Linked DNA regions of Pelodiscus sinensis. The protein of the gene in region 3 purifies or fractionates together with the protein of the main gene of each other region. This does not show direct contact. Links are inferred from orthologs where the notes say so. Each region holds a gene or a part of one and is shown on either strand. Other genes may lie near its edges.

The links.
Region 1: the proteins of CYLD (region 3) and SPATA2L purify together in Homo sapiens (affinity purification with mass spectrometry; 3 studies listed by BioGRID and IntAct, with this or other methods). This does not show direct contact. The link is inferred for Pelodiscus sinensis from reciprocal best matches to the Homo sapiens genes CYLD and SPATA2L.
Region 2: the proteins of CYLD (region 3) and SPATA2 purify together in Homo sapiens (affinity purification with western blotting; 10 studies listed by BioGRID and IntAct, with this or other methods). This does not show direct contact. The link is inferred for Pelodiscus sinensis from reciprocal best matches to the Homo sapiens genes CYLD and SPATA2.
Region 4: the proteins of CYLD (region 3) and MAP3K7 purify together in Homo sapiens (affinity purification with western blotting; 4 studies listed by BioGRID, with this or other methods). This does not show direct contact. The link is inferred for Pelodiscus sinensis from reciprocal best matches to the Homo sapiens genes CYLD and MAP3K7.

Annotation. Positions count from the first base shown.
Region 1 is NC_134722.1:2,497,065-2,504,509, reverse strand, and holds the start of SPATA2L (spermatogenesis-associated protein 2-like protein), read right to left. Parts: upstream 3,386-7,445; 5' UTR 3,331-3,385; coding exon 2,938-3,330; intron 1,902-2,937; coding exon 792-1,901; 3' UTR 1-791. Other genes in the region: L-fucose dehydrogenase-like, read left to right, coding at 6,396-6,630.
Region 2 is NC_134728.1:19,620,754-19,628,603, reverse strand, and holds the start of SPATA2 (spermatogenesis-associated protein 2), read right to left. Parts: upstream 3,038-7,850; 5' UTR 2,748-3,037; intron 2,039-2,747; exon of another isoform or gene 1,712-2,038; intron 1-1,711.
Region 3 is NC_134722.1:31,411,256-31,419,556, reverse strand, and holds the start of CYLD (ubiquitin carboxyl-terminal hydrolase CYLD), read right to left. Parts: upstream 3,365-8,301; 5' UTR 3,205-3,364; intron 2,921-3,204; exon of another isoform or gene 2,600-2,920; intron 1-2,599. UniProt on the Homo sapiens protein: Deubiquitinase that specifically cleaves 'Lys-63'- and linear 'Met-1'-linked polyubiquitin chains and is involved in NF-kappa-B activation and TNF-alpha-induced necroptosis.
Region 4 is NC_134713.1:65,051,761-65,059,462, forward strand, and holds the start of MAP3K7 (mitogen-activated protein kinase kinase kinase 7), read right to left. Parts: upstream 3,459-7,702; 5' UTR 2,895-3,458; coding exon 2,805-2,894; intron 1-2,804. UniProt on the Homo sapiens protein: Serine/threonine kinase which acts as an essential component of the MAP kinase signal transduction pathway. Plays an important role in the cascades of cellular responses evoked by changes in the environment.

The DNA.
Region 1 (7,445 bases), about 29 Mb from region 3:
GTGGCATTCCTGGGTCCAACAGGCAGCCTTGGGGTTTCCAGGGGAGGGAGGGATTGGCTGTCCTTTCCGGGAGCTCTGCTCAACCCCTGCCATGCGAGACAGCCGCTCTGCTCCCACCCAAGCACTCAGCACCTTCCCAGGAAAGGCACAAGCAATGCCCAGGCCGAGGACGGGAGTCCAGAGCTGAGCCGTGGGGCGATGGTAAGTGAATCTGCAGAGCCGGACCCTAAGGCATGGCAGCCCGAGCGTGAAGTGTGACCCTTCCTCCAAGGTCCCAGCAATCCTGGATTCTGGAGAACCCTAAGCACCGCTGCTCGTGAGGCAAGGTCTGGTCCCAGGAGGCGACTGCCGAACAAGAGCAGAGCAGTCACTCCCTGTGCAGCTGAGCCAGGCGGGACGGGAGAGTAAGGGGCAGATGTATGTGCCACTCCTCCTGACCCACGAGCCTGGGGCCAGGGCCCAGCCTGAATCCAGACACTTCTTCCCCTGAGTTCCCTGCTGTCCTGGCAGAGCAGAGGGAAGCTAGAGCCCTTCCTACGCAGGCAGGACGGACACAGCGGAGGCTGATCCCTGAACTAGCTCACAGGACTTGAGGGGGGATAGTAAGCGACAACGGGGGAGGGTGTGGGGCGAGTCTACAGAGCACTGCTGTAGTGGGTGGGGGCAGGAGGGAGCAGGCCTCTAGGACAGGTCCAGTGGCATCGGACAACTCCCGATGCTACCCCGAGGTAGGATTTGGTTGGCACGTCCCACAGCATTTGCAGGCGCGGGGAAGGCAACCTGTTCTGGAGCTAGGGACGAGCGCCAGAGCCTTTGTTCAGCAGCATGTCCACCTCAGTCCTCTGCAACCACATCCGCTTCTGGGTCTCGCTCTGCAGCTCCTGCATGTGGTGGCTGCCCCGGCAGGCCTGCACGGCCTCGCAGCCCCGGGCGTGGAGCAGATAGCACGTGGCACAGCAGTACGAGGGGAGGGCACCTCGGCTCAGGCACGAATGCAGCTGGTAGCACGGTGGCTCCGGCACTTCCCCACTGCTGCCCTCTAGCCCTGCGGCACCAGGTGGCGGCTCCCAGGGTCTCTCTGCAGTCTCGGACCAGCTGTGGGCCACTCTGCCCGCTGAGGGCACAGCTGTGCCAGCAGAGCAGGGCTGGAGGCAGCTTGCTGCCTGCAGTGGCTCCAGCACCGCACTGTCAAAAGGGCTCGTGCGCCCGGCACGCTCAGGAGAGACCGAGTCACTTCCCCTGCTAAGCTCCTTTCTCCAGGACATGAAAGAGAAAGAGGCAGCCTCTGGGTCGGGCCCGTTTCTATAAGGCTGCTCCCAGCCAGATTCAGTAGCCCCCCACTTGTCCCAGAACCTTCCCTTGTTTCCCCGGAGATCCTCAGGATAACGTCCTCCAACAGGCTTGCTCCACAGAGGGGGGCTTTGTTCCCGGATGGGAGGCCTGGGCTGCTCCCAGGAGGACAAACCCCAATGGGAAGAGTGCAGCCTGGCTTCCATGGGGTCGACCAAATCCTCTGGGTTTTCCAGCTCATCCCTGTAGAGATCAACGCTTTCATCACAGCCCTGGGCCCCAGGGCCCCTGCCTGTCGGCCATCCGGCAACACCCTGCAGCTTCTCCACACAGTCATCCAGGGCCCTGGTGCCCCTCCGCACCTGGAGCAGGTCTTCAGCAGACACTCGGCACGGCCCCAGCTTCCGAAGGATCTCCCCCAGGATCTCGCACTCCACCCTCGCTGCAAAGAAGCCACAAGCAGCTTGGACAAGCTCAGCAGCCGGGGGAGGGCAGGACACCACGAGATGCTGGTCGTCTCGCCGAACGTAGCCCATCCTGCGGAAGCTCCTGGCGATGTCCGTGTCCGCCAGCGCCGCCTGCAGGGAGTGCACGTACACCCCGGAGAACATCTGCAACACAAGCGCGGTGTGATGTGCTGAGCCCGGCGCTGGGCCCCAGCCAGACTCACCAGGTGATCTCAGCTCCCTTGGCTCCGCCACACAGTCGCTGACGCAATGAGTCACCCTGTCAGCAGCACCTAGCCCATGGCTGCCTGAGAGCACCTTGGATTCTCAGCTCCCCACCCCCCAACAGCCCAAACTGTGGTCCCTGCAGCCACCATTAGCCTCCGGGGGGGGGCGGGGGGGGGTGGGTGGGTGGGTGGGTGGGTGTGTGTGTGTGTGTGTGTGTGTGTGTGTGTGTGTGTGTCACACTCCATGCAGCACTGCCTGCTTGAGAACGCCAGGCAATTCAATTCCCAGGAAGGCAGCAGAGTTAGATTAGGGCAAGTGCAGCCCTGTGGTGCCCTCCCCCCCCCCCCCCGCCCATCTAACCACCCAGGTCTGTGCAGCCCTGAGCCGCAAGCTGATTTCTGTGGCACCCCAAGACTTTGCTAAGATCCGTGGACTGGAAGGCCTGACAACCCTGTGCCGGTGACTCAGCCCAGAGACAAGCGTCTCTGCCCCTACTCGCTTGAAGCCAGACAGACACGGGGAGGGTTTCCAGCAGGGGCGATTGGTGCAGCTGGGGGAAGGCAGGCCCCCACCCCCACTACAGCCCTGCCCCTCTGCTGAGGCCCTGCCCCCTGGGGCTGGGAAGAGGTGGGGCAGAAGAGAAGGAAGGGGCGTGTGTGGGAAGCAGGCACACACCTGTCAGGAGGGGAGGAGGTGGTGCCAGCCTCCCCAGCCAGGAGCACGGCGAGGCTGGGGGCAGCAACACTCCGCCCCCAATAGGCACTCTGGGGGCAGAGCGTGGGCGCGGCCAGGCCCCTCCCCGACCAGTGGCTAGACCAGGCCTCTGCCATTACAGGGAAGCTCTTTAATCAATTCCAGCGTCATCACCAGGGACTGCTCCAAGGGTTCTGTTCCCGGGGGGTTTGCACCCGAGCTGACGTCCTGGGAATGACCCCGGCCCGCTAACCGGTCCCCGTCCGGCACCGCCACTCACCTTGACGGTGCTGAACTCCCTCCGCCAAGGGAAGAGGTGCAGATTGACAGCGGCCAGCTCAAGCACCTCAAAGGCCCGGGCCAGCCCCCGGAGCGCCTGGGGCAGGTCGTCCTGTCCTCGCAGGCTGCTGGCGAGCGTGGCGAAGGCGTCGTTCTGCAGCGCGCGGTGCAGCTCCGGCTCCTCCAGCAGGCGCTGCCGCAGCGACGCCCTCAGGGCCGGGTCAGCGCAGACCCCCGCGCGGCCCCTGCGGAAATCCCCTTCCACACACCTCCTGTACTCCAGCTGCAGCGCGGCGCTGGGGCCCATCCTAGAGCCAGGAGAGCGGCTCAGGGCCCGGGCATGGCAGGGCCCCAGTGCCACCGGAAAGTCCCAAGATGGGCCACCCTGCCCCATTTTAACCACCCCCCGAGAGCCCAGCTCAGCCTGGGGCCACCCTGCCCCACTCTAACCCCCCCCCCAGAGCCCGGCTCAGCCTGGGGCCACCCTGCCCCACTCTAACCCCCCCCCCCCAGAGCCCGGCTCAGCCTGGGGCCACCCTGCCCCACTCTAACCCCCCCCCCCAGAGCCCGGCTCAGCCTGGGGCCACCCTGCCCCACTCTAACCCCCCCCCCAGAGCCCGGCTCAGCCTGGGGCCACCCTGCCCCACACTAACCCCCCCCCCAGAGCCCGGCTCAGCCTGGGGCCACCCTGCCCCACACTAACCCCCCCCCCCAGAGCCCGGCTCAGCCTGGGGGCCACCCTGCCCCACTCTAACCCCCCCCCCCCCCAGAGCCCGGCTCAGCCTGGGGGCCACCCTGCCCCACTCTAACCCCCCCCCCCCAGAGCCCGGCTCAGCCTGGGGCCACCCTGCCCCACTCTAACCCCCCCCCCCCAGAGCCCGGCTCAGCCTGGGGCCACCCTGCCCCACTCTAACCCCCCCCCCAGAGCCCGGCTCAGCCTGGGGCCACCCTGCCCCACTCTAACCCCCCCCCCCAGAGCCCGGCTCAGCCTGGGGCCACCCTGCCCCACTCTAACCCCCCCCCCCAGAGCCCGGCTCCGCCTGGGGCCACCCTGCCCCACTCTAACCCCCCCCCCAGAGCCCGGCTCAGCCTGGGGCCACCCTGCCCCACTCTAACCCCCCCCCCCAGAGCCCGGCTCAGCCTGGGGCCACCCTAACCCCCCCCGAGCCTCTGCCCCGGGGCTGTCCCGGCACGTGGGGGGGGGGGGGCGCGCTCACCTGCCCGCCTGGGCTCCCCCCGCTCCTCCGCCGGGCACCAACTTCCGGTTCCTCTCGCCCCGCCCCTCGGGCCAGGACACGTCACATGTCGAGGGGTGGGGCTGCAAGAAGCCCCGCCCACTGGGCGTTAACCCTGCCCCTGCCGGGCCGGGCGGCGGGGCCTGGCCCGAGACCCGCACAGCGACCCCCCGCATGCCCGTCCCCTGGGCGCCCCCACTTGGCCCCCCCGGGTACCCTCCTGCCCCTCCCACGTGCCCTCCTGGGCCCCCCAGGCAGAGACCCCCATGACCACCCCAGACACCCCCCGCCTCTCCCGGGGAACCCCCACCCGCTCCCCCCATGCCCAGACTCCCCTCCCCCACCCAGAGCCCCCACACTCGGGGCACCCAGAGGCTTCTGCCCCCCATCCCACCCGACCCCTGGGCAGAGCCCCCAGCCCACCCCAGGACACCCCCCCGCCTCTCCTGGGGACCCCCACCCGCTCCCCCCATGCCCAGACTCCCCTCCCCCACCCAGAGCCCCCACACTCGGGGCACCCAGAGGCTTCTGCCCCCCATCCCACCCGACCCCTGGGCGGAGCCCCCAGCCCACCCCAGGACACCCCCACTTGGGGAGGGCAGGAAACCACTGGCCCCACTGGTAATGCCCAGCCGGCCAGGGGCTCCCTAGGGCACCCACATCCTGCCTCGCCAGCTGATGCCCCCCCTCGTCCCAGGGGCTCTGCAGCCCGGAAGCCGCCGTCCTACCACCCCACGCCCGCCCTGCAGCGGGGCTGGTGTTTGGTCGCCGGTGGAAGGCGGGAAACGCTCTCAGCACAGGGGAGACGCAAGTGCCTTGCAGCCCCTCCCCGCCCAGCCTTGGCCAGCTGGGGACCCTCAGCCAGCCTGGCACCAGTGGGCCTGCTCCTGGTTCCAGCACCCGGTGCTAGAGCCAGCCCATGGAGCCGAGCACCCGGGCCGGGAGCTGTGCCCACTGGAGAGGGGTTATGGAGGGGGCCAATCTGGCTCCAGGACCCGCAGAGCCGACCTCCAATAGACAGATTCCCTCCCCCCAACACATGGCTTGCTGACCCCATGCCTGGGGGGCAAGGGCTTACACTGTCCCCCTCCCCCTGAGTGCGCTGCAGCAGAGGGGCCCACAAGGGTGCAAAGAGGTGGCAGAGATCCTCGAGGGCCGGAGAGGGCTCTCCGAGGGCCGGCGGCAGGCAGAGAGGAGGGGGCCGGAGCCAGAAGAGGAGCCAGGAGGTTGGCTGGGCCGTTTTGAGCTGGGCCCTGGAGCCCAGGCAAGCCCATGGCCACCTATGGGCAGGTGACGGTGCTGCTCTGTGCGTAGGAGGGGGGCAGGCCGTGGGGCAGGCGGGGGGCACGTCACAGAGGTGGCGCACAGCCCCACGGCGAGATGAAGGGACTGGGGCGCGGTGGGAAGGCTGAAGCAGGCAGGCTCAGGCTGGGCAGGGGAGGCGATGGAGCTGGCTCCGGGCTGCGCCTCGTGTGCAAGACAAGCCCTAACAGTGAGGGAAGCGGAGCCGGCTGTGTCCCACGCAGAGAGGGGCGAGCCAGAGGAGCGCGGAGCCAGGGAGACGGGAGCCACCGTGCGAAGGGAGGAACGGGAGCCCCAGGCAGGTCTGTGGCCTGAGGAGAGCGGAGAACAAAGGAGGCAACAGGGCAGCCTCAGTGTAAAGGAATCACCACCCCCCCCCCCGATTTGCCCCCGCCCGCTGGCAGACCCAGGCAGCAGGGAGGGCCCAGGCTGCCCTGCCAGGAGGGAGCCGTGGGCGTGCCGGGGAGCATCTGGGAGCAGGCCCGGGCGAAGAGACGTCAGGCGCACACGAGGAGCGGCTCCCTGGGCACTCCCAGAGGGAGGTGGAGACGGAGGCAGAGGAGGGAGCGGGCAGTGAGGAACAGCCGAGAGCAGGGGGCCCTGGCAATCTGCAGCCGCACACGGCGCTGGCTCCGGGCACCGGGGCGCGCGAGGAGCCCACCGAGGCGGGCAGAGGGAGCGAGGGGCAGGGCCTGGCTAGCCATGGCTCTCGGCAGGGGGTAGGGCCGAGGGAAGGGCTGGCCCGGACCAGGCAGACCGGAGCTGGGGGCGGGGGGGTCCCCCAGCGACCGGCGAGGGAGCCTGTCACTCGGATGCTTATGGCTGCCCAAGGCACTCGGCCTGTGCAGGGTGTTTGTCTCAGGCCACTGAGTTGGAACTAAGGGAGCAGCCCTGAGGCAGGAGGCAAAGGGGGGGGAGGCAGATGCAGGAGGTGGGGCTAAGTGGGCAGTGGGTGTGGCCAGGGGAGATGGGGGTGGAGCTAGGAATGCACTTCCCTACTTATTTCCCTGCCTGGGACGGGCACAGGCTGGTTGGTGGCTGGCCGTGGCTTGGCTCTGCCATTAGCGCCGGGATGTCTGCCTCGGAGCGAGTCGTGGTGGTGCTCGGAGGGGCTGGCACGGTGGGGTCCGGGATCGTGAGGGCGCTGCTGGAGAGAGGTAGGGGCGTCGGGCAGCGGTGACACTGGGGACTTAGTTTGCTTTGTTTTCCCACCATGGCGGCATACGGGCTGGCGTGGGCTTCGCCCTGGCTGTGATGCCAGCTCCTTGGCTCTGGGGTCCTTCCAGCGGCTGGAACACCCCTGGGGTGAGCAGAGCCTCGCCCTAGACCCCAGCTGCTGACCCATAGCTCCCTCCCACCGAGCCCCAGCCTCTGACAGCTCCTGGAGGGCTGCAGACACTTGGCTCGGGGACAGGAACAGGCTGCCGAGCTGCCATGTCCTGGCCAGGCAGCGGGGGCTGGGTGGGGAAAGGCCCCCGCCCAGCAGGAGCGAGGGGAAACCTGCTGGGGGTGCCGGCTGCCCCGTTGTGTTGCTCAGCCCAGCCTGTCTCGCCTGCCCCGCCCTAGCGAGCAAAGGGCAGGGGCTGGCCTGGGCACGCACTCCCAGCTCAGAGGGGCGTGTGCCCTGGCAGAGCCGGTGGGGGGTTCTGCCCGCACTGGGTGGCTGCCCTTGGCCCCTTGCCCCCGTGCACTGGTACACGGTGCCGCCTCTGCCTGGCTGAGCCTGTCGCCTGCCCGAGCCAGCTGCCGAGCCGGGAGGCGCCCCTCGTCCGTCTCCTGTGCCGGCGGCGTGTGCCCAGCTCTCCGGTGCTGCTACTGGGAAGGACACGTGCCCTGCGAAGCCAGAGCAGGCGGAAACCAGGCCCACTCCCTTCAGACGTACCTGCCTGAACCGCTGCCAGGCCCGCGTCCCCCGCCCCCGGCAGCCTGGCTCCGGGGCCCTTTGCCCCACAGATCTCGGATGCCAGCACCC
Region 2 (7,850 bases), on a different chromosome or scaffold from region 3:
TATTGAGTAAGTGGAATTCCTTGCCCCAGACAGTGAGAACATAGCTTTTATTACACTGAGCAACTCAACATGAAATATGGCTGAACTGTCACAATAATTTTACCACAAACCCACAGGCATCTTCCATGCCCAAGGGGGGACATGATAGCGGTTTTCAAATATCTAAAAGGGTGTCACAAGGAGGAAGGCGAAAATTTGTTCCTCTTGGTTTCTGAGGACAGGACAAGGAGTAATGGGCTTAAAGTGCAGCAGGGGAGGTTTAGATTGGACATTAGGAAAAAATTCCTAACTGTCAGGGTGGTCAAATATTGGAATAAATTGCCAAGGGAGGTGGTGGAATCTCCCTCTCTGGAGATATTTAAGAACAGGTTAGATAGACATCTGTCAGGGATGGTGTAGACGGAGCTTGATCCTGCCTTGAGGGCGGGGGGCTGGACTCGATGACCTCTCGAGGTCCCTTCCAGTCCTATTATTCTATGATTCTATGATTCTATGAATAACAATTTGGGCTAGAGAGGCTCACACACCAGGGTCTCATCAAGCATGCAGATTTTAAAAAATTCATCTGAACCTATAAAATAACTTACTCTGGTATTCCCTTTTCAATCTGTTTGAGAGCCTATAGGTAATATAGTGAAAGCCTAAACCCATACCTAATACAGTGAAAGCTTGCTCTAACCTGGCAACCTTCTCAATCTGGTTTCCATGGTATACTGTTTGAGAAAAGCTAGGTTCTCTCCTTGGCACTGCCTTTAACATGTTGACAATTCTACATTTTCAAAGAGACCATTCTCCTGGAATATTCTTCCAGTGCTACTTGTCAGTCAACTTTGCTGCTAATTCAGCCTCAGAACCTTCCTGTGTCTGGTACAAAGTCAAGACACTTTATTATAAATCACTGCTGTCCATCAGTTACCTGCACGAGCTCCCATCCTCTCTCTAACTTCAGAGTCCATTTACACTGAAGGAAAACAAAAGCCAACCCTGACCAACCACATCATGAAGCCTCATAGCTTGGGTCAACTGGGACTAAAAGGAACAATGCAAATGTTCCTAACTGATCTGGAACTCAAACTCTGAAGTTTCTCTCCTACTCCCATGATTTCAGAGCGGCAGGGGCAGCTAGCTAAATGACTATCATTAGCGCCCCAGCATAGGCCAGAGACAGCTGGAGGGCAGGTATTTGTTTCTGCAATGTAACTACACCCGTAGGACCCTATGCAAAACTTGCTGTGGATTGGACAGTCAATGGACCATCCTTCTCTGCATAGGCCACACAGTGGCCAGAAGGGACCACCGGGATCACCTAGTCTGACCTCCTGCCCAACACGGGACATACCTGCTCCAGCATCATTCCCTGGGCTGAGATTTTGCACCCTTAGAGGCATCTCCTCCCAGCCTAGCGGCCCCCCCCCCCCCAAGAGGAGGAAGTCTCCGAGTACATTACCAGGGGCCGGGGGACGCCAATGTGAGCCCGAGATCTCTCTGGCCCTTCCGCACCTGTGCTCGGCGGGGCTACCCAAACCTCCCCCAGCCAGGGAAAGCGAACCCAGGGCCCGCAGCGGGGCAGGCCGGGCACCCCGCACCGGCAGGCGCACGAGAGCCGGGCGGAGAGGGGCCCGACAAGGACCCGCAGGGCTTACGACCAGGAGGCACCCGCGGGACCCACCCCGCACCCGGAACTCTCCCCCGCTGGGGCCTCCCCACTCACAGCTCGCAACGAGGGGAAGCCGTAGCGCGCCCCGCGGCCAGCCGCCCGCCTGCAGGAAGCCGCCGGTGACCCGGATACAGACCCCCGCCCTCCCTCAAGCAGCCGGAAGTGACCCCTGTGGGAGCGAGAGGGGAAGCACAAGGACCCGGAAGGGCTTTGGCGCATGCGCGGTGCTCTCGGGAAACACTGCTGTAGCTTGTAAGGCAGCCCTCCGTCCCTCTCTCTTGTCCCTTCCCCCCCAGCGAGGCAACCGCATGCTCCTGGCTCCAATAAAAGCGAAACAGTGGCAGCCACCACGGGCAGCAAATCAGTTTAGGCGGAGGAAGTGACGTACTACTGAGGTCCGTAGTCATTGCGCATGCGCTTCTTTGGGGACGTCACTTCACGTGTGATGTCATAGAGAAGGATTTAAAGGGCTAGAGTATCTTCCTCAGGTTTTTTTTTCTTTACCTGGCCTCTTACCATAAGGGCTCTTCCTATAGACCTGCAAGGCCACCTGTAGCTTGACTACTCCTGTCCAGCAAGGGCCCAGGCTGTAAGTGGCCTGCTGGATAAAACTGGGCTTTTCACAACAGGGCAGCTCTGGCAGCAGGTGCTGATAGTCCTGGGATGTGCCTGGTTGCACCAGCCCTGCTTGAATGAGAGTCCCAGGTACTTCATCTAGAGCCCCGGTGTCTAACACACTATCCACATGTGGCTATTTGGCTGGTTGAGTGTGACTAGTTGGCTGGAACAATGTGGCTATTTGACTGGCCGAGTGTGACCAGTTTGCTATAAGAACTGGTTGGACACCACAGAGCTAGAGCCTTGTTAGGTGAGGGAGAAGATGGATCAGCTTTTCTGGCACTAGCTAAGGGCTTGTCTGCCCTATAAAATTAAGTCAACTTTATGCTGATGTACAGCCATAACTGTAATTAAAATGATGTTTCACATCGCACTATGCTCCTTCGTCAGTGGTGTGCATCCCTACCAGGAGTACTTCCAATGAGTAAAGTGGGGCATTGTGGGAGCACTGCCAGCTGGAGATCCCACTCACCCACTGTAGAGGTAGCAGGCAGAGCAATCGGTCTGGTGTGGAGCTCACAGCTGGAGTTGGTAGATGCCCTCAATACTGCAGCCAGCCTGCAAGTGCCCAGTTGGAGCCAGGATTATGGAGGCTGACAAACTCTTCACACCACAGTGGCAGCAGCCCTGGAAACCTCATCTGCAGGTGAGATTTTTGGTACTGCTAGGCTCCCAGCTCCAGGACATTCTTGTAAGTTACATGGGGACTCCTATTTCACATTTTGACTCTTGCTCCCTGCTCTGCCCCATAATGGGGAGGGGAGGTGCGCTCCAGCTATCAGCCTACACGGGATGGACAGCCAATGTGATGTAAACAACATAGTGTCTACACGGATATTGCATCATATCTATATCTACCTAAATTGAGCTTTTCATGGAGGTAGAATTATTAAGTTGGTGTAGTAGACAATTTAAATCAGTGGGAGCAAAATGGTAATATAGAAACTTACAGAATTAGGTTGATGTAAGCTGCTTTACATTAACCTAACTGTGTAGTGTACACCAGGCCTCAGTGACTGATAAACTCCTTTGCAACCAATGCCTCGGAACAGGACAAAGCTGCCACCCCACAGAATCCATCTTGAAAAATAAATGCTGTTTCCGATCCTGACCTGGCCACCCACCTGCAAATGATTTAACTGTCAGAAAATGATCAGAAATGGAAAAAACACTGTTTTCAAGTTTTGACCTGCTTTAGTGTTTACTTCATCACCTTTGTTCCACAGAGAGCCAGAGAAGAGGATGAGCTTTAGTCAGTCTGATTCCAAAATTTCTAATGCATTACCAATGTGATGTATTCAAACAGCATCATTCAGAACCCCAAACCATGAGACTTGCAAACAAGAGTTGGGCGTGCATAATTTATTTTTATTTTTATTTTTGAGCTTAAAAGCTCATAAAGGTTCACATTTTCCACGTTTTTCTAAAACTTTGAGCTAGAAACACGCTTTTAAATGAAAATTGAAATGTTCATGCAGTTACAAGAACACAGGAACTGAGGCCTAAGGAAAAAAACATTAAATATTGTAAGATTTGTGATAAAACAACAAGAGTTGGCAACATAGCATGGACTATTTCTTGGGACACGCATAGCAATCCAGCAGAACCTCTAAAAAACAATCACATGTGGGGAGGCAACAGGATGCTGCACTAAAGTGGGAGGAAGGAAAGCTTTGACAGGGTCATTGGGTCACTAGTCCTGCTTATTCTTGGGATTAAATGGGATTTTGAAATGTGCGAAAGAGTCACAGCCTTGGTCTTACATCTCATTTGAAAGATATTAAGGTCAATTCCAGCAGCTCAATTTCCTCACTTTCTAGAGGAGAAATGTGTTACATCATAATTACAGCAAAAAAAAAAATCCTTTAAAATAATGCAGAATGTGGCTACTCATTCACAACAATGAAATCTATTGACAAATCATGAGACAATTATTTTATAAATTGCTTTGAAAGCCACAGAATAACAACAGCATTATCCTTTTCTAAAAAGGTCAATATTTCTTATATAGCCAGAACAGCCATGATGATAAATGAAGAGGAAAATAGCATGACGGTTTGTTACTAGAAAACACCCAAATCATATGCTAGTAATAACATAATGATTAAAATGTGGACAACCTGCATCCTTGAGGCTATGTCAAAAACCAGGCAGATTCTGCCTGCTCACGGTTACTTACATTCTGTTGCTTTAGCTATTTTTTAAAGTATTTGTTTGTTTTTAGTAACAGGATCATTTACCTTTTGTTCCACTTAAGATCAGTCTGAAACTAACAAACTCCATTTCCTTTACATTCTGCTTGAAGGGAGCTGATTTTACCTCAAGCCTGGCTTGTTGTTCTAACAATGTTTAGGTTCTAAGGCTGCTGGTGATAAGTGCTAATGTGTTTTACAGCTGACTAGAAGCTGATTGTTTTCCAAGACCAACTCTGAATGTCAAAAGCATAGTTGTTCTTTCTCTGCATCTTCAGTGCATTATGTTCCATGTATGGCAGGTGACTCCATCTGACAAAGCACTCAGTGAATTCAGTTTCAGGAGGCCTGTATCACTTGCAGGCAGAAGCAAAGCGTTAGCAAAGTCTAAACTATAAGACAGAGTGTCAGGCACCATATGATAAGGGCTTAAATCTGACCCATTAAAGCCTTTACAAATGAGTCCTTATTTTGCAGCTGGTTCCGAATTTAAACTCAGGATTAAACCTACCCGTGGATATGCATGTGCAGTTAATATGCATGTTGTGAGCACAGTTCTGAGAAAAGAACAGAGACCTTCTGTCACTGGCAGTGTATCCATAGCTTTGATTTTCTAATTCTGCTAGTTAAGTGACAAGGCACTTGGCACATGAATGGAAACATTTGGCTTCACATATACAGTATGTTTTCCTCTTGTATTTTTCCTTCTGCCTTCCTGATTTGCATTTCACACTACTCTCCTCTCTAACTTCCTCCCCACCAAAAGTTAATTGTGAAGCATTCAAAGTTTTACTTAAATCCTGCAGAGTAGGACAGTGGGTTAGGACAATATCTGCAAACTGCTCCATACATAAATTGCCACCATCCTTGTTAGGAAAGGATGCTTTTTTTATTTTTTTAAAGAAAAGATTGATCATTATTCCATTCAGTCACTCATAGATTTTAAGGCAGGGGTGGGCAAATACCTGAGCCTCCACAGGTACTGGCGATCGCAGCTCCCATTGTCCACAGATTACTGTTCCCAACCAATGGGAGCTGCAGGAAGCAGTGTCCTAGTCTGCACCACTTCCTGCCACTCCCACTGGCTGGGAACGGCCATCCGCGGGCAGCAGGAGGTGCGATTGCCGGTATCTGTGGAGGCGCAGGTAGATATAGCAGCAGCAGCCTGCCAAGGGCTAACCCTGGCAACCACCACTGTTTTATTGCTCACACCTCCTTTAAGGCTAGGAAGGACCATCATGATCATTTAATCTGACCTCCATCATGCTGCAGGCCTCAGAATCTCACCCACCCACTCCTGTAATCGATCCCAACCTCTGACTGGGTTACTGAAGTCCTCAAATCATGATTTAAAGACTTCAAGTTACAGAGAGTTTACAGTACATTAGTTTAAACTTGCAAGTGATCTGTGCCCTGTGCTGTAGAGAAAGAGAAAAAACCCATCATCTTTGCTACTCTGACCTGGGGGGAAATTCCTTCCTGACCCAAAATATGGCAGTCTTGTTAGATCCTTAGCCTATAGGCAACACCCACCAGCCAGACACATGGGAAAGAATTATCTGTAGTAACTCAAAATCCTCCTTATCTCGTGTCTCATCACAGGCCATTGGAGATATTTCCTGCAGTTGCAGATCAGCTACATGCCATTGTAGACCGTCTCATTGTACCATCCCCTCTCCCCATAAACATCAAGCTCAGTCTTGAAGCCAGTTAGGTTTTTTTGCTCCCCTTGAAGGCTTTTCCAGAACTTTACTCCTCTGAAAAGTCCTCCTTAACACAAAAGAGTTACTGTACCGGATCAGACAATCTGTTTCTTAAAAACTTGATCCTGTATCTCTCAGCTGAAATGCTGCATATGGAAGTGTAATGAGTACTCAGGGGAACCCAGTTCTGCACTAAGGATAGTGATTCTGCATGGCTGACAAGTAACTTCCTAATAGCAAAATTAAAGCTCAAAGGTCATTTGACAAAATATTTCATGAGAGTGGTAAAGATGCTATTTGAGATCTTCAGATGTGCTCATTCTTCCCCAGCATTGCTTCTTTTTACCCTGCACTGTGGCAATGGGGTAGACATGCAAGCGGCTTGATGCTTATTACTTGCTCATTCCACAGGGCTACACTTGGGGCTTGATTCAAAGCCCATTCCAGTCAATGGGTGTCTTTTCATTGGCAGCCCGCCTTTCCTTCATGGCCCGCCTTTCCAGAGACCATCTGTACACGCTCATGCTCCACACACTGCATTTCCTCACCCTCGTGTCCCGCTCCGATACCAAATGGCAGGATTATTTAAGATCAGTTGAAGGTAAGGAATCCCGACGGACCAGTGTTTATTCCACCTTAATCCCACATCCCATTGAGGACATCAGCTGGCAGCTCCTCCATGGAGCCATGAGCATGGGTGCATACCTGGCACAGTTCACCCCCGTCCCAGACGCCTGCCCCTTCTGCGGCGTGAGGGGAAACCTGGTGCATGAATATCTGGAATGCACCAGGTTGCAGCCCCTTTTCCAGCTCTTCCAGAACCTATTGCTGAGGGTCTGGCTGCACTTTTCCCCTCACCTTTTTATTTATGCGCACCCCATCCATGGCCCCACAAAGTCACAAGACCTCCTTGCCAACCTCCTCTGGCTCTGGCAAAAGCCGCAATATATAATACCAGGGGGAGAATGCTGGATGAGGGGGTGCTCTGCAACTGTGGGGCCTACTTCCGTTCCACCCTTGTGTCACATATCTAGGCAGAGTTCCTCTAGGCAGTGTCCGCTGGCTCCATAAACAGCTTTGAGGAGCAGTGTCCCCATCCGGTTCCCTCATTTTAAACCTTTGACCCGCACCACTTGACCCTGTTTTTCATCATTTGTCCCTCGTATTTAGTTGAGCCCTGGGCCCAGTTGTCCCTCCTGCAAGGCTGGGGGAGGGGCTTTTAGAAGTGGGTGGGCTGGCACCCGCCTACCCCGTTGGGTTCAAATAGTGACTTCACTGGGCTTACAGTCTGGCTCTCAGAGCTTAGTACTTGCACCCACACATAGCTGCTGCTCACACTTAACTGCAGTGCAGCAGCCTTATGTTCCCTTTTGTGCAGTGAAAAAGGATTTACAGGATGAAATTGTAACTCATAAGGTGATAGACAAATAATGCCCAATGCCTGCCATTTCAGAGGAAGATGAAACTCACCAATAACACAACTTAGTCAGTATATGACATGACAGGGTGTGTCCTGCACTGAAGAATTTAAACTATGAAGCATAAGACTCAGCATTCCTATTTTAGCATTGCTATATATTTCTGTCCGTATTTTCTAGCTTGTATTAAAGTCAAGATTCTGTTTCAGTCTTTGATCTCCTCCTGCTGCAGTTGGCTGTCCACGGGAGAAAGCATTGTTTT
Region 3 (8,301 bases):
ATATATATCTCTCTCTCTCTCTCTCGTAATTGCTCCTCCCATTCCCTACACTACAAACCTCTCCATCCCTTTTGCCACCCACTCTTCCACACTTACCCTGTGAGCATTTGCATATGTGATTTATTACATTGCATAGCAATGCATTGTTGAATATTATGCACTGTGCCTAACAGAATGTATAACAGTATTGTCTCACTCCTGCATGACAAACTTAAGAATATTTTCTATCCATCTAGGGTCTTTTACCATAGCCATGTTTGGAATATCTGAACCTAACTTAGTATCAAAACGGGTTGAGACACAAGAGAGAAAACATCTTCCGAACAGGAAAGATCTAATAGGAGCAAGTGACTGAAACTTTGTAAGTGGGACTTATTGTGGCTCAAATGTGCAGTTTCACCCACGAACCGGTCCAGTTAGAAGTTTTCCTATATCTCCCCACCCCTTTCTTCCCTGGAGTCACTCACATATACTGTTACAGAGAATCATCTCACTTGAATAAAAAATTTGTTCTGAAATTTGAGAATTTTGTTTCTGCTTTAGCATTACTTGGGCTAAGAAATGTGATTTGTATCTCCTATCACCATGAACATACTCAAATTATTGCCCTGTCTCAAACTACAGAACAAGTGGGGAAAACTGGATGAACCTGATTCAGATTGTCTCTTGTAGATTCCTCACTTCAAATACCATGTTTTTAATAACTCCATGTACAGAACCACCATGACAGTCAAACAGCCTGAAAAATACGTTTAAGCGCAAGAAGCTATATCCGTTGATTAGACAAAGTAGCGTCCAAAGAAGTCAATAGCTGCACATTTGCAATGCTGAATGAAATAAAAATATGCCTTTTAAAAGAATGCTTAGCATTGCTAAGAGAAATCTTAAAAACAGACCAATAAATTATACATTTTAAAATTTATTTTTACTGTTTGGATTTTGCTACTTAACTTTAATACTGTAAAATATGAAATACATATTTTTCAGTTTTCAAAAAGAATGTTTAGATAAAAATGTGTTTAAAAGAGAAAACACTACACTATAGTTGTTTGATATATTAGGTACATGGACTTGATTTGGGGATGACATTTGTGTATCAGTGTGGCATTTATCTCCAATTCAGCAGGGCTGTGCACAGAGTTCATGTTTTGAAATAAAAGACGAAAACAGTTTTAATGTTCTTGATTATGACTTAATATATTTCTTTATTCTTGTTAAAGTTTGTTTCCTGAGTAGCATAAAATATACTTAAACATTTCCTCTTTTAAATGCTTACTTTTTTTAAACACCGATTTTCATTTTCGATTAACCTACCCTTTTTTCTTAAACATTTGTACACATGAAAATACTGTTTAAACTTTTAACTAGATAGCACTAGCACATTTACCCAGTGTTGCTTGGGTCATTAAGGAGGGGCTCAGGACAGGGGGCCGAGGGTTCAGGACTCAGAGTTGGGGGTACTAGAGGCAGGGGGTATGGAGGTGCAGGAGTCAGAGTTGGAAGATAAGAAGGGACTCAGGAAAGGGGAAGCAAGGGTGCAGGAGGTTGGCCAGCTCACCAGCACAGGAACCTTATCTGTCTATCGTGGCCAGCAACATCAAGAATCCTGCCCTCGGCCAGCCACTCTCTTATCAGTGGACCTGCCCTCCTGTGGTCATTCCGCAGCATAACTGAGCCTATAGCAGACTTGTCCCTTTGTGTTTTATGAGAACCCATAGTATTTCAGGCAAATCCCATTGTTCTGGCACAACCAAACCCTTACCTTGCTTTGAAATTATGATAAGAAGCAGCATCTGCATACCATATTTGCTGGTCCTAGCTTTTACATTTAGGATGACTTGAACCCACTCAGACAGACTCTCTCAATTTTGTATATATAATAGAGGAATGGTGGCCAGGATCATTACAGTAAACCTGTGAGCCGAACTGACCAAAATCAGTGCCCTTCTACACAGCACTTATTTCAGTGGGCAACTGAGAAAAAGCACAGATCATTATAGTGCTAAATCCTAATCCTACAAACAGATCTGAGAGTGTGAGCCTCTTACCCAACTGACTTCAAATAACGTTCTGCAGGAGTTACCAGAGCCAACTGTAGGATCAGGGCCTAACGGAGATAGCCTACCTCCAAGATACATGTTGGTTGGCATGATTTTCCGCAAATGCTTTTAACGGAAAAGTTTTTCCCGTTAAAAGCATTTGCGGAAAAGAGCGTCTAGATTGGCACGGACACTTTTCCGCAAAAGCACTTTTTGCGGAAAAGCGTCCATGCCAATCTAGACGCGGTTTTGCACAAGAAAGCCCCGATCACCATCGGGGCGTTTTTGCGCAAAACAGTTTTTAGCTGTCTACACTGGCCCTCTTGCACAAAAACATTTCCAGAAAAGGGCTTTTGCCCAGGAATGTCAAAGCATTTGCGCAAGAAGCACTGATTTCAAACAGTAGAAGGTCAGTGCTTTTGCGCAAAATCAAGCGGCCAGTGTAGACAGCTGGCAAGGTTTTGCACAAAAGCGGCCGCTTTTCCAGAAAAACTTGCCAGTCCAGATGCAGCCGTTGGGTTTATTTAAAATAATCATAACGAAAAGAAGCCAAATCTCACCTTGCTGCTCTGTAGCCAGTGTCTAAGCCTTTGGGCCAGCGCAGTCTAAGCACAGAGGGGCTGCCTTACACACCCGGGAGGGAAACGGGGACACCGACAGCGCTCGGCACGTACCCTGCCCTCATCTACCGGCAGCCCTCCGAGCGCTGTCCCACGGGCGGGGAGGGGGGGCTTTTACCGCCGCACGTGCAGAGATTTAAAGGGATTTGCAAGCGAAGCAACGTGGGGAGCAGGGAGACAGCGCAAGGAAAGCGGGTCCGGCTCCGCCACAAGTTCGCGTGGAGCCGCGGGCAAGCTAACGCTGCCCCCCCCCCCCCCCCTTGTTACAAGGACCAGGCGGTCGGACAAGCTCGCCCGGGACAGGCTCGCCGGCTGCGCTCCCACCGGCCGGGGGGGGGGGGGAGCGTTTATAACCCGCCGGCAAAGCAGCTCCCGAGCCTGAGCCTGGAAAAAGGCCGCTGCCGCCGCCCATAGCGGCACCGTTAGGTGTCAGCAGCCACCCCCCACCCTGCCGCTGCTGCCGCCTCAGAGGAGGGGGGCGGGGGGAGAGGGCAGCGGGAGGCAGCCCCGAAGCGCAGAGCGACCGCTCCGGGCCCATCACTCACCTCATCCTCCGCCCCGCGAGCCACCTCGCTGCTACCGCCCAGGCCGCCCCTCCCGACAGCCCCGGAGCCGCTGGCGCGGGGACTTTCCCAGCCACCTGACACCCTCACGGGACTCCTCAAGAGCGAGGCAACCCGCGTAACCCACCCCCTCAGAGCCGGCCCGGCCCGTAAAACCTACCCTGCTAGACCCATAGCACCGCCCTCAGCCTTCTGCCGGAACCAACCACAAGGCCCCGAGCCGGCCACTCTCCCTCCTATTGGGCAAACACACACATGTTCAGCAACCCTGCCGCTACGAGGGGATTTCCACTCCATCAGGCTTGCCAGAGCCGCAGATGAAGGCGGGGACAGACGTGAGGGAGGAATCGATCAGCTAGGATTGATTGGCCAAGCCCTTTAGGCCCGCGATGAAGATTGGCTACCGAGACGAGGTGGGAGGGGAGAGAGGAGGAGCGGAGGAATGCTTGGGTTTGATTGGTGAAATCATCCGAGTCTAGCGATTGGTAGAATTTAACCAGGTGTGGGGTAAGGCAACTTGATTGGCTGGATCCTTCAGTAACCGGCTGACAGCAGCGGGGAGCGAAGGCGGCGGTCAGGAGCCGGCTAAGGGAGCAGAGTCAGCAGTGGCTGGAGCGCATAAGAAGGGCCATACAGAGTCAGGCCACCAGTCGCTAATGGAAACTCACCGTTAATTACATAATTACATCCAAGCCATTTTGCTAGTGCTGCAGCTGGGGACATTGGTTCATTGTAAATTATTACACAGACTAAGCACTTTAACTGTCTCATAGTCATAGAGAGGTAGCCCTGTTAGTCTGATCTTGCTAAAACAAAAGGAAAAACTACGTAGCACTTCAAAAACTAAAAAGATGGTTTAATAGATGATGAGTTTTTGTGGGCCAGACCCACTTCCTCAGATCATATTCTGGAAGAGAACTGGCATAGCCATATATATACCAAAGGACTACAATGAAAAAAGTGAACATGTTATTAAACTGACAAATCAAATTTAGTGCGGAAGGTGGGGTAAGGGAGAGGGAGGCTGTTTTGATCTCGAATTTTTTTTAAATGCAACATATTTTGAAGCTTTTTTAATTTCTAGTTTCTGCACTTACTTAATGAAAGCAGAGATTTTTACTAAATCACAGGAACCTGAGGATTAAAGAGAAATATGAAATATTGCAAGATCTGTGATAAAATTGCTCCATATTTATTAGAGATGTTAAATATTAGTTAATTGACTAATCAAAAGCGGAGAGGAGTCCTGTGGCACCTTATAGACTAACTCCATGGTCCCCAACACGGTGCCATTTGTGTGCGCCCACCAAGTGCTCAGGGCTGGCCTGGCCCCGGGCACATGGTGCATGCACAGTGCCGGAGCTGGCCCGGGCGCATGGTAAGCGCCAACCCCGGGAGCGCCGCGAATTGGCTGCTCGCACCTCGGGCATGCGGCGCTTGCGGGGGGGGGGGCGCCGGGCGCGCGGCGCTTGCAGGGGAGGGGCGCCGGCCCCGGGCGCGCAGCGCTTGCAGGGGGGGGCGCCGGCCCCGGGCGTGCAGCATTTGGAGGGGGTGCCGGCCTGTGGCGCACGGCGCTTAGGAGGAGCGCCAGCCCCGGGAGCACGCAGCTATGGGGGGGCCGGCATGCATGTTTCCCCTCCCTCTGGCACCCGGCAGGCGAACGGCCACGCCCCCTGGCACCTGGCAGCCTCTAAAGGTTGGGGACCACTGGACTAGCAAGTGTTGGAGCATAAGCTTTCGTGGGCAAAGACCCACTTCGTCAGATGCATGCAGTACGTGCATCTGACAAAGTGGGTCTTTGACCATGAAAGCTTATGCTCCAACACTTCAGTTAGTCTATAAGGTCCCACAGGAATCCTCGCCGCTTTTGCAGATTCAGACTAACATGGCTACCCCTCTGATACTTGACTAATCAAGTAGCCTATGGAATTTCCATCAACTACTCAATTAGGGTATGTCTAGACTACATGCCTCTGTCACAGGAGGCATGCAGTCTAGACGTACCCATAGCCGATAACAGGGGGAGTGGTCCCACTCCAGCTCTGAACTTTAATGGTAGTAAGAGCCTACTTCTGTGCAGTGCAGAGTCACCACTCCCAGGAGCTAACCCTATGGTGAGTTACCCCAAGGTAGCTCCTGTGGGCGGTGCAAGCCTGGACTGAACAGTCCCAGCTCACACTGCCCTCTAGGATGCTGCAGCTCTGCATTTTAAATGTAGTAAGAGCCCAGCAAAGTGCAGAGCTGCAGCAGGGTTAGTTCTCTGGGTGGTGGGAGCTGGGACTGAATAGTTGCTCTGCTACCCCTGGCTCCCATGCACCATGTAGATGGTGCTGAGGGGCAGCCAGCTTTCAAGCTGTCTTCCCCCACCACCGGCTCCTGTTTCCCCGCCCCTTGCTGCATCTAATACAGATGCAGCAAGGAGTGGGGGAAAGCAAGCAGTCACTCGACTACCCGATAAGGATAGTCAACTACTCGACTAGTCGCTTACATCCCTAATATTTACCATTGCCACTCCCTTAGACATGCAGTGAGACATAGCAGTACAGGTAACCTGCAGTGACCTGTGCTATACAAGTACATACACTCCCTTTTGATGTATCATGATCTGACATATCTGTCCATATATGATCCATTAGATATGGAATAGCCCATATTCAGTCTCCCTCAGATCTGCGTTTACTCAACATGCCCAAAGCCTGTCGTCCCACACCTTAGACATGTCATACACTTCTGTGCAGTGCAGATATACCCCCATATGCAGACAAGCACTCACTGTTAGATGTGCAAATACCCAGTTTGATTACCACACACCTTCCTATGTGAAAGCATCCAGTTCCACATAAAAGAAAGGGTACATGCAAATCTAAACGTATTTCCTGATACGCATGCATGCTGGTGCATCAAACATTCATTTGCCTCATTTGCATATTCACAGAGTAGAGAGACTGCATTTATTCAAATAGGGGCTAGTACACATTTTGATGAAAAATGTTCACTTAATACATGTTGATAGAAAAACAGTTTAACTAAATTTCCTTCCTTAATTAACTAGGCAATATATTGCAAAGCAGAAAATGTCTGTTGCTACATCAGTTGTAAGTAGTAGGAAAAAACTACAGATGTATTGTTAAATCATTCATTATCTTTGTGAAAAGTTGAATCAATATTATATGTTGGATTACCTGCAGTCAGCATAAATTGCGATTTAAAGGCCTTAACCAAAGATCAATGAAATCATTGGAAAGACACCTCCATTGAATTTGGTGTGCTTTGCATTGGGCCCTGACAAAGTATTTTGGCACGATAACTCTTTAATTACACAGCATATGTGTGGTCAATACATTATGTGGAACGTGTATATTAACTAAATAAGTCCATATGATACTGGCAATATTTTCTGCTGGTAAGTAAATTACAAGAACTCCTGCATCAGTTAGCACATTTGCTACTTCAAAGACATACAGTACTTTTCAAAAGAAAATTCTTGTGCAGAATTTTCAGAGCTTTATACCAAAAGGTTTTCCAGTCAAAATTTCTCCATGTTAAGACTAGCTAAGTGCATGTTTTCAATTAACCATTAATGTTTCCTTTAGAAATCAGTGCCGGTCATTCAGTCATTACAATAAGGCTATTATAAACCTATTTAATACAAATATGCAATTTAACTTTTCCCCTACTATAGCGTTGGCAGTCACTCAGAACTCATAGGATAATTAATTTAAATAATGCATCAGGGAATACTCAGTAGTGAAGACTTTGTGATAAAGTTACTTACATATATCTTTGTGTGAACACTGAACATGTGAACATTCAGTTGCCTCTAATCTTTAATACCCAGTTTAAAAATGAGTCAGATTCTTAGGAAAGTGCAAAGTAGTATTATAAAATAAGATTAACATATACATGCATGTATTAAAATCCAGATTTAGCAACTGCTAAAAATGCACGATTCATACTTTTATACATACTAGACTGTTACTAACTGGTGATTTAAATAATTGTTTTCCTTTAAATCATGGAGAGACAAACCCGCAGTCCTATCTCTTCCACCTGAAGTCCTGCAAGCCACTCCCCCAGCAGGAGGCAGGTGGCCCCAGCCTTCTCCCATCAGCACAGGGAGGGAGGGCGGACAAAACCCATGGCCCAAGCCTTCCCCAGAGCATAGGACAGGCAGGTGGCCTCTGAGCCCAAGAGGGCAAGCAGCTCCCCTGACCTTGGAACATAGATGGTTCCCACCGCAAGCCTACCTGGCCGCAGGAGGATTGGTGGCACAGCTTCAGCCTTGCAGGGGTAGCCACAGGGCTGAAGCCCAAGTAGGCCCAAGAGACTGGGGGGCCCATAATGAATGGGGGTGCTGAGGGCAGAATGTAGCCTGATTCAGCTGGGCAACATGGGAAGGCATTGCCTTTCCTGGCCTCTTATTCCCTCCACCCAGGCTTTAAATCATATAAAAAATTCCTTCTCTGAAACTTGTGTTTCTAGCAGGCAACTCCCAATATGCTTAGAAAACTATGAAAAAATAGTATGAGTTCATGTAATTAAAGACTGTATCATAATGTACATGCAGAAAGAGTCCAAATTAAGATTTCACAGACATCCTTAAATCTGATATTTCCTAATTCAGAGCTTGACTTTTCATCCTTAATGTTCTTGTAATGTATTACAGACCATGTCAACTTTAACTTGGATTAATTAAAACAATCCTGGGGCTGTCCTAGTTTACACTGGGTACTTACTGTTCTGTTCCCCAAAGGTCTTCAGAACCCAGTGGAGGCAAAATTAGCCCATAAGCAAGAAAAAGTCCTGCTGCAGCTAGAATCAGGCTTTTGAATATATCTGTGGTAAAAGTCATGGAACGAAACATGTCTTTTTTAAAAAAGGAGCGAAGGCACAAGAACCCTGTTATTGTGATGATGTGTGAGATGGAATAGACTTAGTCTAAATGTGAGAATCCAAAATTAATTAGGTTGACTGCTTGTAGTGAAGAGTACGTTTCCCTTACAAATGGATTAAATTTGTTATGTAACTAGTGAAACACAATGAATATGCAACCTCACCACAACATTTTACACCGTCACT
Region 4 (7,702 bases), on a different chromosome or scaffold from region 3:
TCCAGCACACATGGGCTGGGATCCTGCAGCCCAGAGAGGGGCTGGAAGCATGGGGCTGGAGCAGCCCTTGACTATAGCACAGGGACTCCCTCCCTGCACATGTTTAACCAGTTTAATTATTTAACAATTATTTAATTGTTAACCAGTTTAACAGGATTTTACATTCTAAATCATGCCCCCCATTCTTTATGTCTGTAGTAATTTAAGCTCTCTCACCACACAAGTACATATACTGATAAAAAACACAATCTACATTTAACTCTCACTAAATGTTATAAACAAGAGGGCACTGATTCAAACAGAGTCATTTAAGTACATAGCAATATTTAAGTGAGATATTGCTTACAAGCATTGCCAACTTTACTTCACTGTTGTAGCAGTGGTGCTGCCATTAGAGCTGAGTGGCTCAGCTCTGAAGGCAGTGCTGTGGCCAGCAATAGCACAGAAGAAAAGGCTTCATAGTTATGAACAACAGATTTACAAATTGACAGTTCACCACACATCTCATTTGGAATGGGAGGTACACAGGCAGCAGCAGAGACACACACACAAAAAGCAAATACTGTACAGTATTGTGTGAAATGTAAATTACTAAGAAGGGAGGAAAGCAGCATAAGAACATAAGAACCACCTTATTTGGTCAGACTAAAGGGTCATCAAGCCCAGTATCTTGTCTTCAATAGTAACCAATGCCAAGAGCCTTACAGGGAATGAAAGACCAAGAAATCATCACATGATCTATCCCATTCCCAGATTCTGGCAAACAGGTTAGGGACACCATCTCTGCCCATCATGGCTAACAGCCACTGATGGACCTATCCTTCATGAATGTATCTAATTCTTTTATGAATCCTGTTAGCGTCTTGGCCTTCACCACATCCTCTGGCAAAGAGTACCAGTGGTTGACTGTGTAGTTTTTCTGCACAGTACAGTTTCAAAGTTCTATTAAGTAAATGTTTAGTTGTAACCTTTGAAAGAACCATAAGGTTTTGTTCAGAGTTATCAACATTTTAAGAGTGGTGAACAATCTCCATTCCTAGGGCATTCGTAATGCTGATTTTCTACTTTATTTAATGCTGTGGGTAAATTTCAGTAGAAAGTTTCTCTCCCCTAATAGCTTCTCATGCCTCTCAATATATTCCATATATTCCCTCCCCCTCCAATTTGAGAACATCTGATATAGGTTATCTTGTTTGTAGAAAGGGAAACAGTAAATAATTTTAAAGACTGATTAAAGCTAAAGTACCTTTTACAGATTTCTGGTGACTCAAGGTGAAAGTCAAAGATACCATGATACCTTGCAAACAGTGTTCTTGGAAAACATTACTTTTCAATAAAACTGTTTATAGTCTCCAAAAATACACTTCTGTGGATGCAGGCTAACTATCACTATTTAGCAAATGATGCTGTAAAGCTCAGAACTACTGGTTATCACATATATGAAAGGTGCTATACAAGTCTAAGTTCACATCTGTATAGTTATCAGTCAGAAGAAAAGATCTTTTTCTTTCAGCAGTAATTAATCTGCTAAAGAGCTAAAAACACATAGATTATAATGATGCCAATGTTTGTTAAGTTAATTTTTCTGCAAGTCAGCATATGTAAATCCTACCAAGTTCAATGGGGGTCTGCCCATGTACAACAACTTGACTTAAACAGAGACTTCACAGGGATGGAGGGATTCAGTTGAATCGAACAACTTGCAAGATAAGGGCCTTAATGAGCCGTTAATATATCTCCATTGAACCTTTCTGGAAAACAGATTGCTCTAGAGAATTTACCTCCACATAAAAACCAAACTAAGCCACAAATACTTTTATCAGAACTACTTCTTAATCAACTGCATACCAGTTTCAAAGAATTTAAGTCAGCTCTTCCACAGCCAATCTTTCGCTGAAACACTCAAGTAGGAAACTCCCCCCCCCCCAAACTAAGTACAACATAAATGGACAATTACGTCACAAGTAATCAATACCAAATGCAATAAAGGGTCACACATGTACTGATGTTAATTTAACAGCCACTGGATTGTACCATCACTTACATTAGTTCAATAGATCTAAAAGGAGTCTTTTATGCTTATGATAATGTAGACATAAAAAATTGGGATATGATCATCAGATAGATACCATAGTAATGGGTGTATAATAAGTACATTGAATCGGATGGGTGGAAGAGAGAACAGAGACTTACAAAAATAGACACAGACAAAATGGAAGCATTACAATATAGTTTAAAAATTCTCCATTTGACAGTGATAAAGTTGGGTGGTTATGATCAGTGAGTTAATCAGAACATATAGAAGTCCCACAAAGTCTGGATTAAATTTAGACTGTTTAAGTAAAAATTCACCTATACACTATGATTCTTGCTTCGTGTTTGGAATATCTAAGCTCCCTGGCAGCTCAGGTTAACAGCCTTGCATCTAGCCATACATGTTTTCTATGCACATTATTGCAGTATTTAGACACTTCCGAGAGGGAGAATAGCACAGAATTTACTATACAACGCTCAGCTCTACGTGCCTGTGAGTAGTCTCACGGCCTCTCTCATAAGGTTGGGGTTTTGCTTCGGTGTCTATGAGCAGAATCTTCACTATCACCCCCACACCTTTGTGCCAACTGACTACCACTCTCGCCCCTCCTTTCTCCCCACTTCCCCGCAGCTGGCTGCCTGCCAGGACCACAACACCTATCTAGTTTGTAAGCGTCTTTCGGGTCCTGTAGGGTGAAAGCTGCCCTACGAGCCCCAGGGAGCTGTGCAGAGGGAGGAAAGGGGAGTCTCTGAGCACGAGGTTCGCTCACCTCTTCCACCTCTATCTCCTTGTAGTCAATTTCTTCGAAGTTGAGGACCGGGGGAGTTTCGATCATTTCAGCGGAGGCGGCAGCAGACATCCCTTCGCTGTCAACTAGGGCAGGAGGGGGCAGGGCCGGCCGAGCCGGGCCGGGGCAGAGGAGCGGCTCAGGGGGGCCGCCTCCCCGCTGCACAGGCTCTGGGGAGCGAGGGCCTGGCGGAGGCGCCTCCTGGGCCGCCGCGCGGGGCGAGGCCGCATCCGCGGCGATCCGGGGCTACTGGGGCCGCGCGGAGCCCCCAGCCGGGGGGGCCTCGCTCCGCATCCTGCGCCTCGGGCGCGCCGCCCGCCCTAGGCCGCGGCCTCCCTGGAGCCTGGGACTCGCCTGGACTGCGCGTCCCCAGCAGAGGAGACGGGACGGCCCCGGGGGCGGGGCCCCGCGGCCTCCGCCAGCCCCGGCGGGGAGGGAAGGCGCCGCTCAGAGCCGAGCTCCGGCCGCCGCTACTGGCAGGGGAGCCGCTTCCTGCTGCCCGGCCGGGGGGCGGGGGGGAGTCTCCGGCTGCTGCTAAGGCCGCCGGAGCGGGGCCATGGCCTGGCGGCGGCTGCGGCTCCTCCCGGCTCCTCCCCTCGTGCGCGGCCGGCGGCGGCCCAGCTCCGCCCCCCCCCCCGCCAGAGCCGCCCGGCAGCCAGGGGGAGCCGCCTCCGAGCCGCACAGACGCCTGGGACACGCGCCTAGGAACGGCCCCGCCCGGCGCCGCGGGGGACTCAAGCGCCGAGTGGGGCACCAAGCGCAGCGGCTGTTGGTAGCAGCTCCCCCAGCAGCGGCTCCCGGGGCTTCGTGTACCAACGGCGGATCCCAGCCGTCCCTGGGAGGGATTGCAACGGGCACAGCAACCGCCCCCAGCGCTACGCTGTGCAATGGCAGGCGCTGGTCTCGTGGCTGCATGGCGAGCAGTGGCGGTGCTAAGGCTGCTGCCTGTTTGTCCTAGTACCACGGGCTGCACCGTGCCCCAGAAATGGGCCGTAACAGGCCCGGCTTGTAGGTGGAGAGTGCACAGGGCAACATGCACTGCTCCTGGCCAGAGCATTTAGCTCCACGCTCCCATTGGCAGGGAACCTGCTGCTGGCTGCTTCTGGGAGGCAGCATAGGCTGCAGTACCAGGAGCAGCAGGGAGTCTGTCTTAAGAATATAAGAATGGCGAATAGTAATAGAAATGTAGCTGTGTTAGTCTGGTGTCGCTGAAACAAAAAACAGGACTATGTAGCACTTTAAAGACTAACAAGATGGTTTATTAGATGATGAGCTTTCCTGGGCCAGACCCACTTCCTCAGATCAAAAAAAAAAAAAAAAAAAAAAGAATGGTGGTACCCAGTCAGACCAAAGGTTCATCTTGTCTCATACCCTGTCTTCTGACTGTGGCCAATGTCAGATGCTCCAGAGGGAGTGAACAGAAACACGTAATTATTAAGAGATCCTTCTTAGGGATGTTAAATTTCAATTAATTAACTAATATAATAGTTGATGAGATTTTTCCATCTACTATTTGGTTGGTCGATAAGGACTAGGCGGCATTCTGCCTTTGTAATGTACAAGAGCCCCACTAGGGGCTGAGGGTAGCCGGCTTAAAAGCCAGTTTCCCCCCACAGCTCCAGCTCCGTGGGAGTGGACAGGGGTGCAGCAGCAGTGTTCCAACTTTGAAATGTACAAAAGTTACTACTGGGCTGTTGTACATTGCAAAGTTGGAACACCGCTGCTGCACCCCTGTCCACTTCCACGGAGCTGGAGCTGTGGGGGGAAACTGGCTTTTAAGCTGGCTACAGTCAGCACCTCTTCCAGTTCCTCCCCTTGCTGCCTCTTTCTGATGGAGGCAGCAAGAGGGGGAGAAGTGACTAGTTGAATAGTGTGTTGAGTATGGATGTTAAATTTTGATTAATTGACTAATTGAATAGTCCATGCAATTTACATTGGCTATTCAATTAGTTGATAAGGGCACTTTTGCCTTTGGAGTGTAGCTACAGCTTCAGGGTAGACACTTCAAAGGCAAAAGCGCTGCGGGGCACACAGGGCCATCAGGAGACTCAGGCAGTCCCCCGCTGGCCCTGTGCTCCCTGCGGTGTTTCAGAGTGGCACCTTAGAGCCTGAGGTTAACTGGACACCCACTGAGCTCAGGCTCCACATGGGACTGCCGCTTTGAAACACAGTGTGCAGCCCAGTGTACCAGGCTGGCCCTGGGTTGCATGTGGTGTTTCAAAGTGGCAACACCGTGTGTAGCACAGGGTCTGGCCCCAGGCTCCATGTGGCACTGCCTCTTTGAAACACCCTCTCCAGTCCCCCCCTTTGCTGCCTCTTTCTAATAGAGGCAGCAAGGAGGGTGAAGCAACTAGTTGACTAGTCCTTCACATCCCAAGTGTTGACTATCTGATAAGCTTTTGCTTATCTGATAGTTGACTAGTCGATTAGTTGCTTACATCCCTAATCGCTCTGTCATCCATTTCCAGTCCCTTACAAACAGAGATTAGGGACACCTTTGGCACCCTCTGCATCACTGACCATGAGCTGCTCAAGGTAAGCCTTTCCTGTCACAGTCCTGTCACACCCAAAGCTGGAGTACCTGGCTACACCCCAAAGCTCTCTTCCTCAATCTTATTCCAGAGCCCAATTATCAGAGTCAAATTATCTTGGGTTGAGGGCAGCAACAGTTTTCTTCAACTGGATTACAAGAAATACAGTGTGAAAACCGCTAGACTGTACAAATACCCTCACACTACTTAAGTCCTGCACATTCCAGGGTGCAGTTCAGTCCAGCGAAGGGTTGTATCACTGATTACCCTATAATGCTGAGTGTCTCGCAATGCTTTGCTGCTGTAATACCAGCCTGGGCTGCTCACAACTAGAAAGTCACACTCTGAGGTCCGGTCTACACTGTGGGGGAAGGCCAGCTTAAGGTATGCAACTCCAGCTACGTACATAATGTTGCTGGAATCAACGTACCTTAAGCCAAGGTTGGCATCATCTCTACAGTGGGAGGTTGACAGGAGAAATGCTGCACTTGACTCCCCTTCATGAGGAGTACCGATGCTGATGGGAGCTCCCGCAGCATATGATTTAGCAGGACTATGAACCCTGGAAGATGGATTGCCAGTGTGTCGATCCTCCAGTAAGTGGAGACATGGTCTAAGTGTGTGTATAGCTGTGATCTTGGTAAAGCTATGTTGACTTCAGTAGCTTGTCAATGATACTGCAATCACTCTGTTTTCCACCAGTCTTGCTAGGGTTGCCAATCCTCCTGGATTGTCCAGGACTCTATGGGAATGAAAAAATATGCCATGTGATTAAATCTCCAAGAATGGAACCAACCCAGACTGACAACCCTACTACTACTTGCAAAATGATCACATCATTTCCAATCTTGGATTTTCCCTGAAATGAATTTTGTACTGTTCAGCTTTCACTTGGGCAAGTCAGATATTAAAGGTGCGTTGCTCCTGCAAAAACAATGAGGAGTCCTGTGGCACTTTAGAGACAATGGGTATGTCTACATTGCACACTTTTTTCAGAATAAGCTATCTTGGAAGAAATACTCCGAAATAACTTATTTCAAAATAGCACATCTACACTACAGGGAAGCTTCAAAATTAGTCTGAGGCAGGCTACCCCAATGTAGAAGCACTACCTTGATTTAGTGCCCCAGGAAGCACTAGGGAGTAATTACTTTGAATGGCCCTGGGGAGGAGCTATTTCAAAATAGCAGCAGTGGAGTGTCCACACTACACTTATTTTGGAATAGGCATTATTCCTCATGGAATGAGGTTTACAGAAGTCAGAATAAGCCGCCCATTATTTTGAATTTATTTCAAAATAACTGAATTGCTGTGTAGATGCTCATATTGTTATTACAGAATAATGGCCATTATTCCGAAATAACACTGCTGTATAGATGCACCCTAAACATTTATTAGGGCATAAGCTTTCCATGGGTAAATCCCACTTCATCAGATAAATTGGAGTGGAATTTATGGAGTCACGGAATTTATGGAGGCATGGGTGTGTGTGTGTATATATATATATAGAGAGAGAGAGAGAGACAACAAAAGAAAAAGAGGGTATTTGTGTAAATGAGGCTAATGAAGTCAGGGTGGAAGTGTCTCATTCACAGCATTGATGTGGAAATGTTGATAGCAAGAGGGGAAATTACCTTTGTAATGGGTTAACAAGTTAAGATCTTTATTGAATATTCAACAGTTTGATATTTTAATTGCAGTTACTGAACAGTTCAAACAGAGCACTGGATTAGTTTAGATTAAAAATGAATGCAGGCTTTTAAGTAAAATCAAGTATAAGAGATAAAGTTAGAAATGGTTACAAACAAATTAAAGTGAATAGACAGCTAAAAGTATAAAACTTACTCTAGAAAGTTTTGGCTCAAGGCTTTGTTCACGACAGATATTCCTATCCACAGTTTTCCATCAAGATGGAGACTTACCCTCTCCTCCATCAGAATTCCTCCCAGAAGCCCAAAGATGCTGGTGCCTTTATTTTCTTAGTTGAGGGTGAGAGAGAAAGAAAGAGAGTGAGAGAGAGAAAGAAAAAGAGAGGGAACTTAGGCTGTGTCCAGACTCAGGGGTTTTTTCGAAAAAAGTAGCCTTTTTTCGAAAAAACTTCACCTGTGTCTAGACTGCAGCTGCATTCTTTCAAAATTAAATCGAAAGAACGCGGCTTTTCGTTCGACAGCGGTAAACCTCATTTCACGAGGAAGAACGTCTTTTTTCGAAAGTCCTCTTTCGAAAAAAGGCGTTCTTGAATGCCAACAGGGCTTTTTAGAAAGAGAGCATCCAGACTCACTCGCTGCTTTCTTTCGAAAAAGCGGCTTGCTTTTTCGAAAGTACTGCTTGCAGTCTAGACGCTCTTTT